Linked DNA regions of Caenorhabditis elegans. The protein of the gene in region 1 interacts with the protein of each later gene in a pairwise test. Each region holds a gene or a part of one and is shown on either strand. Other genes may lie near its edges.

The links.
Region 2: the proteins of dre-1 (region 1) and skr-1 interact in binary tests that used the Caenorhabditis elegans proteins (3 or more experiments, as listed by UniProt).

The regions. Positions count from the first base shown.
Region 1 is NC_003283.11:6,543,319-6,548,527, forward strand, and holds the start of dre-1 (F-box domain-containing protein), read right to left. Parts: upstream 3,174-5,209; coding exon 3,044-3,173; intron 454-3,043; exon of another isoform or gene 248-453; intron 1-247. UniProt on the Caenorhabditis elegans protein: Substrate recognition component of a SCF (SKP1-CUL1-F-box protein) E3 ubiquitin-protein ligase complex which mediates the ubiquitination and subsequent proteasomal degradation of target proteins including blmp-1.
Region 2 is NC_003279.8:9,469,722-9,473,438, forward strand, and holds skr-1 (Skp1-related protein), read left to right. Parts: upstream 1-1,828; 5' UTR 1,829-1,842; coding exon 1,843-1,923; intron 1,924-2,107; coding exon 2,108-2,383; intron 2,384-2,428; coding exon 2,429-2,602; 3' UTR 2,603-2,924; downstream 2,925-3,717. Other genes in the region: skr-2 (Skp1-related protein), read left to right, coding at 1-63, 245-514, 560-733; calm-1 (EF-hand domain-containing protein), read right to left, coding at 2,976-3,193, 3,488-3,635. UniProt on the Caenorhabditis elegans protein: Probable essential component of SCF (SKP1-CUL1-F-box protein) E3 ubiquitin-protein ligase complexes, which mediate the ubiquitination and subsequent proteasomal degradation of target proteins.

The DNA.
Region 1 (5,209 bases):
TAGCAGGGACGGAAGAGGAGGATGTGATGATGTGTCTAATCAATAATAAGACTAGATTGAAATGTGTAATTGAATCGGCCTGATGGGACAATTGTAGGAGGTCAGAAGAAACATTCCGAAAATAGCAATTTATGTGTGGGGGAGGCGACAAAAGGTGCGTAAACATAAAATTTACAAAAGCATCGATGTTTACAGAAGCATATAGGTGTTCTTGTCCTTCATCATTCAATGCCTTTGGCCAGTTTTTGAATGCCCCTAGTCTTCATCGTCATCAACGTCCAACTGTACGACGATGGAGACGATGCCTACACCGAAGAGGACATAGAGTGAGAGAATGTGGCATGTAGCAAAGAGGAAAATGAGGGCAAGAAGCAGTCAGCAATAGCCATGAATTGAAACTGGATTCGGTGTCGTCGGCCCCCTGTATGATGTAGATGGGGCGTGGATCCATTGGGCTAGTGATGATGGTCACGCTGTGGAATTGAGAAAGAAGGGACGAGAAGGAGAACTAACTGTGAAAAAATTGGGGAGAAGCTCAATGGGTTTGCTTTAGGAGCAAGCCGTGCCAGGGTCACTGTTTGTTTAGTTTTTTTGGGTTAGGTTAGATCAAGGGTAGTGCTCCGTTTTTTGAGAATGACAGGGATGAAAATGATGTTGACCAGTTGAACTACCCAACTAGACACATCAGAAATTATGTTAACTCCAACTCGGCAAAACGTCGCAACTTCATAGCAATCTCCTGCAACTTAATAAAAACATTCATATAACTTTGTAAAAAGCTGTTAAGAAGTTGCGAAAACCAACGGGATTGTGAGCGAAATTTAGCTTTACATCTGCTAAAAAATTGCAAAAGTCGTCTGAAAAGCTGCAGAAGTTTGCTTAAAAGCTAAAATGCCTAATGGTTGTTAAGAAGTTGCAAGAGTATGCTACGAAGTTAGGCCATTTTGCCGAGAAACTTTAAAAAAAAATGAATGTGATGGCGTTAAAACTATCAGCTTTCACTGCGAAAAAACTGGGAAAATGGTTTAATATTCACAAAATTCTTTCAATTCTCTTAATACTTTAAAAAATTACTCCTCAAACATTTTTGATTTTTTTTTCTTTTTGGTAATAAAATATCACCTGACAGCAAAGTTTTGCAGCTTCAGGTATTTTTTTTCCAATTTAGAAAAATCTTATACTTGCAGAAAAAATTTGCAAATTGTATTTCTTGCTAACTGTGAGTTTTTAAAAATAAAGTTCCAAAATGTGTGTTTCAAAAACCTGCAAACTTGTTTTAAATCCACATGTACTTTTAAAATATGTTCATGGGGAGTCTCCAACGGAACATTTTTTCAAAGTTTTTTCCCGATTATTGATCAAATCGGAAATAATATTACCAAAAAATCTCGAGTCTTTCTTTTTTTCAACAGGAAAATAATTTGAGAAAAAGTATTTTAATCAGACAGTTTGAAAATTATTTTCCATCGGTCCTGATAAAAGTTTAAAGGGGTTACAAGAGAAAAGAAAAGCACAAAAAATATAAATACGAAAACTATAAAAGCAGCTGACTAAAAATGAAAACATAGATGGGAAAAAAAGAAAAAGCCGGAAGTAGTTTTTCGATTCACTCTGCCAAATTCTCTTCATCACTTTTTTGATGATTCTCTATTTTTTTTTTTGAAATGTCTCATATTACCTCAAAAGCATAGAAATAAAAAGAAAAACACGCAGACAACTCCGAAGTGATCTAACGAAAATCTCGCGTGTGAGTGTATGTCAGTGCCGGCCTGTCCTTTCTCCAACATAACGATATTGTTATTCACAGTTGGCATTTCTTTCGAAGGTGAGGGTACGCAGACAACACGTGGAAGGTGGCCCATGGGAGGGGGAGATGATGAGATGCGCGGAAAATGGTCGTCGGCAACGGCAACAACACATTGACCGGTGGTGGTACCGGGCGTGCACTACTAGAAGACACCACTCACTGACTCGAGAGACGACCTTCTTTCAATATTCTTCATGTATGTTATTGCGATGAACCCGACACGAGATAACAACCCGATGATGAGTGGTAATTTATAGGTTCGGGTCAAGTTTTATAGCTCAAATATGCTTTGAAAAACAAAAAGAAAAAGGACATCAAATTTGAAAAAAAGTGTATTGCCTATGTAATTTTTTGTGCACTCCAGAAAAGGTGAGAATAAATTTGAAATGTGACTTACGTCATTCAATGAAATTTTAGTTTTCTCCGGTTTCCATAAGCAAACGCCACAATAGTTAATCAGGTGACATTGCAGAATTCACAATAAAAAGTGCAAAACACTATGCATCAAAAGGCTCGGGCAAAAAATCCAGCTCCCATGAAAGTATTTCAGCATATTTTTAGAATTCTAAATAAAACCTATATCATTTGAAAGAGTGCCTTGGCAATAGGTTACTTTTAAAAATTGGCAACAAAGGAGCACATTGAATTAGAAAAGGTCATTCTGAAAATTTTTGACAAAAATCTTTGCAAAATTCTTTCAGGCCAAAGAACTGTAATGTTTTGTAATGACATATTTCAAGACTCACATTTAAAAGACATAAGTTTCATCTGGAACTAAAAACGAGCTGAAATATTTTTCTTGCTAGTTGTGCTATTTTAGAGATTTTTTGAACATAGATGTGATTGCCACCTTTTTAGGACATTTTTTAAAAGTAGACAATCGTGGTGGAAATTCGAAAAAGTTTAGTGAGCGCACTCCTGTTACAGTTAGAGAAAAAGTTATTAACGTGGAGAAATTATTTTTTGAGCTCTTACTTTTATGTTCATCATTATCAAATTTGCTTGTTCCTATTTTTAGTCTGATCTTTTTAATTTTTTAAAGTGTCAATAGCAACACAAACATCACGAGAAACGGAAGATTAAATTGGATACATCGGACAGATAGTAGAATTGAATCCACCGGGCGGGTCAACAGAGGTCAGTGTCACACATACACTCTACGATAAGCTTATGACGATCGATGATCGAACACCGCTGTATCCTTCATCACCGACCTAGTTTTCTTCAAATACTTACCGAATTTTCGTGCAGATGAGGATCCTCTTCTCTGAAGTTTTGGAGAAAGATGCGCGGCTCTCGTTGAAACGAGAGAAGGCCGCGATTCCATAAGCACATCGTCACTCGACACTTCTTCTTCCTCCGCCATCAACTGAAATTATTGAAGATTACGGACGTTTCAAGGTGTAAAAATATAATGTGTGTGAAAATATTAAAAATTTAAATTCCAAATAAAAAACTTTAAACTTTAAAAACAATCTCATGAAGCATAGTGAGAGAGAGAGAGAGTTTTTATGATAGTTTTTGTGGGAAATAAAGAGCAAACAAAGCAAAAACTGCAATTTCCCAAAAAATATAATATAAGAGTAAACATTTAGAATTAGTTTTTTAAAAAATTCAATAATTAGAGGAACGGAGTATATCTATTTGAGATTATTGTTAACGTGGAGAGTGTCCCAGATAACTTCTGTAAATTAAGTAGATATTTGGAAATTTTTTCTACAGTTCAAATTATGATATAATCTAAAACTAGACAGTTTTTATTCTGGAAACCTTCAAGGATGACATTCCCTAATTCCCTAAAACATTGCTTATAAGTCACGAGAAAACGAAGAAAAATGAAATGGAAAACCGAGGAACGACGTGGAAATGCATTTATCAGTGTTAAATTCATTGATAAGTTGGGGTCGTCAAATGATGACGAGCCGATAGAAAAAGTAATGAGAAATGGGAGAAAAGTTGGAAGAAAACTTCTTGGGAAAAGAAGGCAAACTCTTTTTTTTTCTACTTGGAGACGTCAGAGGAAGGAAATATGTAGGAGATGATGAGCTCTTCAAAGAAGAAAAGAAGAGAGGAATAAAATATTTGATTCGGTTGTGCAGTCGGCAATGTGGTGTCAGGATTATTACATTCGTTTTCTTATTTTTTAAAAAAATAAGAAAAATATTCAATTTACGGGGGAGTAGATGAGCTTATGGAGCAGGTTTAGAGCATTAGAATTCTCATTTGAAATTGGAATAATTCAGATTTCTAATCATAGTATTTTCGATGCTACGGTACTCGGTCTAAAAATTTCAACGAAAAATTATGAAAAATCGATGATAACTGTGTAGAAAAGAGAGTTTGAATCACAGTACACCTTCTCGCTTTTGACAAAAATTTGTTGTGTCGAGACCGGGCACTTTATTGTTGGCTAAAAATCGTGAAATTTTGCTTATGGGTAATAGCATGGCTTCTGGACACAACTATTTAATGTTTATTGACAATTAAATTCAATAAATGATTTTTATTCAAAACATGTGGTCGCAAAAGGAAAAATATGCTCGTTCAATGAAATCGCTTTAATTGAAATCAATTATGTAATTGATTTTTTTTGTTGCATTTTGCAGCATATTGTCTGGTAAATAGCACAACATTTTTTTGCTGCCACTTCACAAATGGGCCTTATGGTAAGTTTTACGTTTTTCAATTTCAAAAAATATTTTTTTAACCTAGCGTACATTTATTTCAAAATGTTACCACTGATTGTGAGGAAAGGAAAATTTCAGAAAACTCGATAGTCGGCAAAAATTAAAAGGCTTGAGTTATATAGCTTTTCAACAAGCTTCCAAGATTTTTTTTCCAGTTTCAAGAAAAGAGTATCATTTGCTGGAATTATTGTTGGAATAAAAACTCAAACTTTGCCGGGCAAGGAAAATCAGAAAAACTGTAATTAAACTTTGAATACATCAAAACCAGAATCCGAAGGTGTCAAATTCGGTAAAAGTGTCATTCCAAAAAAGATAAATATACATGGAAAACAGGAAAGTATTCAAAACTGTACTTTTTATCGAACCATATAATCTAGAACACTGAACAAGTCTCTCCACCGTTCACCACCGTCAACGTACGGCGAAATGGAAACCGGACGGATTTGGGAAGAAAAAGAGTGAAGAAATGAGAGGGGGAGAAAAAGAGTTTTAAATAATTCACACCACGTTTTCGCGGGTTTTTTGTTCCTTCATCTAAAAGATGCATATCTTCTAAATTGACAGGGGTCAAGCGCGTCTTATGTGTGTTTCTTTCAAATTACAAAAAGTGGGAGTCTCCGGAATTGGAAGAAAAGATGAGTATCAAAAGGGCGCGGCGCGCGGAGCAATCGCGGAACACAACAGTACGTTCGCTTCTTCCTTCCAATACAATTTT
Region 2 (3,717 bases), on another chromosome or scaffold:
GCATCCGAAGCAGCAAAGAACCGCGAAATCAAGATCTCGTCTTCGGATGATGAAATCTTCTTGGTAAGCTGAAATTCGTTTGTTATTGTCATTTTTATCTGAAAAACTAGGCTTCGGGTCGATAAGACGCTTTCGCAGTTCTTATAGAAAATGTTTAGTAGCCTAGTTGATTTTTAATAAATCAACAAAAAAAGCGGCACTGTACGCTAGATGGCATGGGAAAAATTGCAATCTGAACTTCCAGGTCCCACGCAATGTGATCCGTCTCTCAAACACTCTCAACACTCTTCTTGTGGACCTCGGGCTCGACGACGATGAAGGAACCAACGCTGAGCCAATTCCAGTGCAAAACGTCACTGCCTCGATTTTGAAGAAGGTTATCAACTGGTGCACCAAACACCAGTCCGACCCAATTCCAACTGAAGACAGTGAGAAGAAAACGGATGGTTCCATCCAAGACTGGGACAAAAAATTTCTCGATATTGACCAAGGAACCCTTTTCGAGCTCATTTTGGTAACTTGTTATTTTAGTTGCAATATTTTAAATTCCTATTTTCAGGCTGCCAACTATTTGGACATCAAAGGACTTCTTGATGTCGCCTGCCAGTCTGTCGCCAACATGATCAAGGGAAAATCTCCAGATGAAATTCGTCGTGCTTTCAACATCAAGGACGACTTCACTGCAGAGGAGAGAGAGCAAATCCGTAAGGAAAACGCCTGGTGCGATGATTAAATCTCCATCTTTTCCCCTGTTAAACTTTCAATTACCTTGTTTTCTAAATGTTTCACATCATCCACCATATCTTTCCCCTTATTAAACGCACTTTTTAATTGTTAACAAATTTCTTCACTGCCAGCTGACACAACTGTGTACAGTTCTGTTTTTCATTCAATAAAGTTGATGTGAACATGAAAATTGCAAACAATGCAATTGGTTTTAAAGCCACAGCAATAGTATTTTTTAGTCTGAACAGGACTATAGATCCTTCACTTTTGAAATGGAAGATGACGAGATGTGAAATTCTAGGCCAAAGTTGCTTCGTTTTCCGCGCGCGTAGATTTCGAAATAAATAAAAAAACAATACTTTTCTCAGTTTTAAAAGCTACGGATCGTGTGAATGAAAATTACTTTCTGTGATTAATTGCGAATGGGGTTATTCAAGTAATGTATTTACATGACTTTATCGCATATTGCGCCTGACGCTGCTAAATCCCCGCATTTAACTGAAAGTTGCGATATCTTTAAAACGAGATCTATTTTTTCCATTTCTTTCATTTTTTTTTTCCTGATATTCTCCTTTTTCTATCTATCAAAAATCGAGTGCCGATATTCGCTGAAAAGACTATATTATGTACGCCGTCCGCTCTCTTTTTAATTTTATATAATTAAAAAACATTATCTCTGAATATCTGCAACTCGAAATTTAGTAAATATACCGTTCCTCCATTATCTTTCTAGTATTTTTTTAAAGACTTTGTCCATCCAATAAATTGTCATATTTGTCAATTCGTTCCCGCATTGCGTTCTATAACGATCGATAACTCTGCGTCTCTTCCTTTGTGTGTACACTGTTTCCTCGCTTCTCTACACTGTTTCCTCGCTTCTCTCGCATCATACGACACACTCACATTCTATTCGCTCATTTCTCAACGTTCTCATTCTATTTTTCGTTGTTTTTCTTTGTTTTGCAGGTATTTTGCGTTGGAAAATTTAAAACTTTTAATTTTTCTCGATGGAAATACTCTTAATCGTTCTTTTTTTTTTCTACCTGTTCTTCTTTATTATTTGTATGTAATCGTTCTTTTCACAATAATTTCTCAATTTCAATCGATTTCAACGCGATGGCTGATCAAAAGAAAGTATCCGAGGCGGCAAAGGAACGCGAAATCAAGATATCGTCTTCGGATAACGAAATCTTCTTGGTAAGATTCAAATTATTCCTTCGTTTTCGTTATTTTTGTCTAAAAAAACTAAATCGATAAGCCGTGCTGCATGCATGCGCGCGTAGAGTTTTGCTTCTTGGTATCCTAGGTGATCTGACTTATAGAAAAATAGACAATGTTAAATGTTCCACTATATTTGAAAATTCACAAACTAAACTTCCAGGTCCCACGCAATGTGATCCGTCTCTCAAACACTATCAACACTCTCCTGATGGATCTTGGACTCGACGACGAAGAAGGAACCAACGCTGAGCCAATTCCAGTTCAAAACGTCACTGCCTCGATTCTGAAGAAGGTCATTAGTTGGTGCAACCATCATCACTCCGATCCTATCTCGACTGAAGATTCCGATAACCGCGAGAAAAGAACTGACGACATAGGCAGCTGGGACGTCGAGTTTCTTAAGGTTGACCAAGGAACCCTTTTCGAGCTCATCTTGGTAACTTGTTATTTTAGTTCCAATATTTGAAATTCATATTTTTAGGCTGCCAACTATTTGGACATCAAGGGACTTCTTGATGTTACCTGCAAGACTGTTGCTAACATGATCAAGGGAAAATCTCCAGAAGAGATTCGTCGCACTTTCAACATCAAGAACGACTTCACCCCGGAAGAGGAAGAGCAAATCCGCAAAGAGAATGCCTGGTGCGAGGATTAAATTACCCTTCAGTTTGCCTATTTCTCTATTACATTTCTAAACGACATGTCGCTTCCTTCCCCTTCACACTTCACACATTGTCCTGATATGGTCTCTGTCTATTTTTTACATCATCTCTGGCAGCCCAAAAACTTCTTCCTTTTTTCACCTAATTAAAATGCATCTTTTGAATTTTAACCGCCATTCTATATTTATACCTATAAATCACCGACCGGCAAAAATTATGCAGTGTGAGATTCTCACACATTTCCTCCAATGAACATCAGTGTGTCCTTTACGTGATTGTACATGCCTAAAAATAAAGTTGATGAGACGATACAAAAAACAAACGATTTATGTAAAACATTGAAAAAAATATAACCCGTGAATGTATTTAAATTCTGATATGAAAAGTTCTAATGAAGTCAGGTGATCGAGAGACAACGTGTTCAAATTCTGCGAAGTTTATACTCGAGTCTCCATCCAAATCAGCTTCTTCAATAATTCGTTCAATTATAAATTCAACTTCTACATCACTCAGCTCATCTCTTGTTAAACTTCGAATCATTTTACTCAAATCATCATGTCCAAGAAGTTCATCTCCATCGTAATCTAAAACAATATTTTGATACTAAATTAAATATTATTACGCAGACCTCTAAGGACCGCTATTGCAATATAATTTTATCAGATATAAATGCAAAATTTATGTCATGATTGTTAAAATAACAATATGATATAATACAATTTATTTACGCGAGTTACAGTAACCCGTTGCCGGAATGGCGAGACGTTGCGCGTAAATTGTGGTGAAAATTCGCAACTATGGACGTCTACGTAATAAGAACCATATAACTTTTATGGATTGTTAATATCAAATGATTTTATGTCTAATCTCTTCCTTACCATAAATTCTGAAAGCATATTTCAGTTTTAACTGGAGTGGTGCCATTTCCGAAAACACTGAGAACATGTCCAAAAAATCGTCGAATGATAAATTTCCGCGTCCGTCTTCGGAGAAAACTTCACAGATTCGTCGTTTGAATGGATTTTCCTGAAAGTTTGTTATTGTATCACATCAAGTTGATGTGGCCGATATATAGATTTTTGATATTTCCCCCGAAGAGTACTATGGT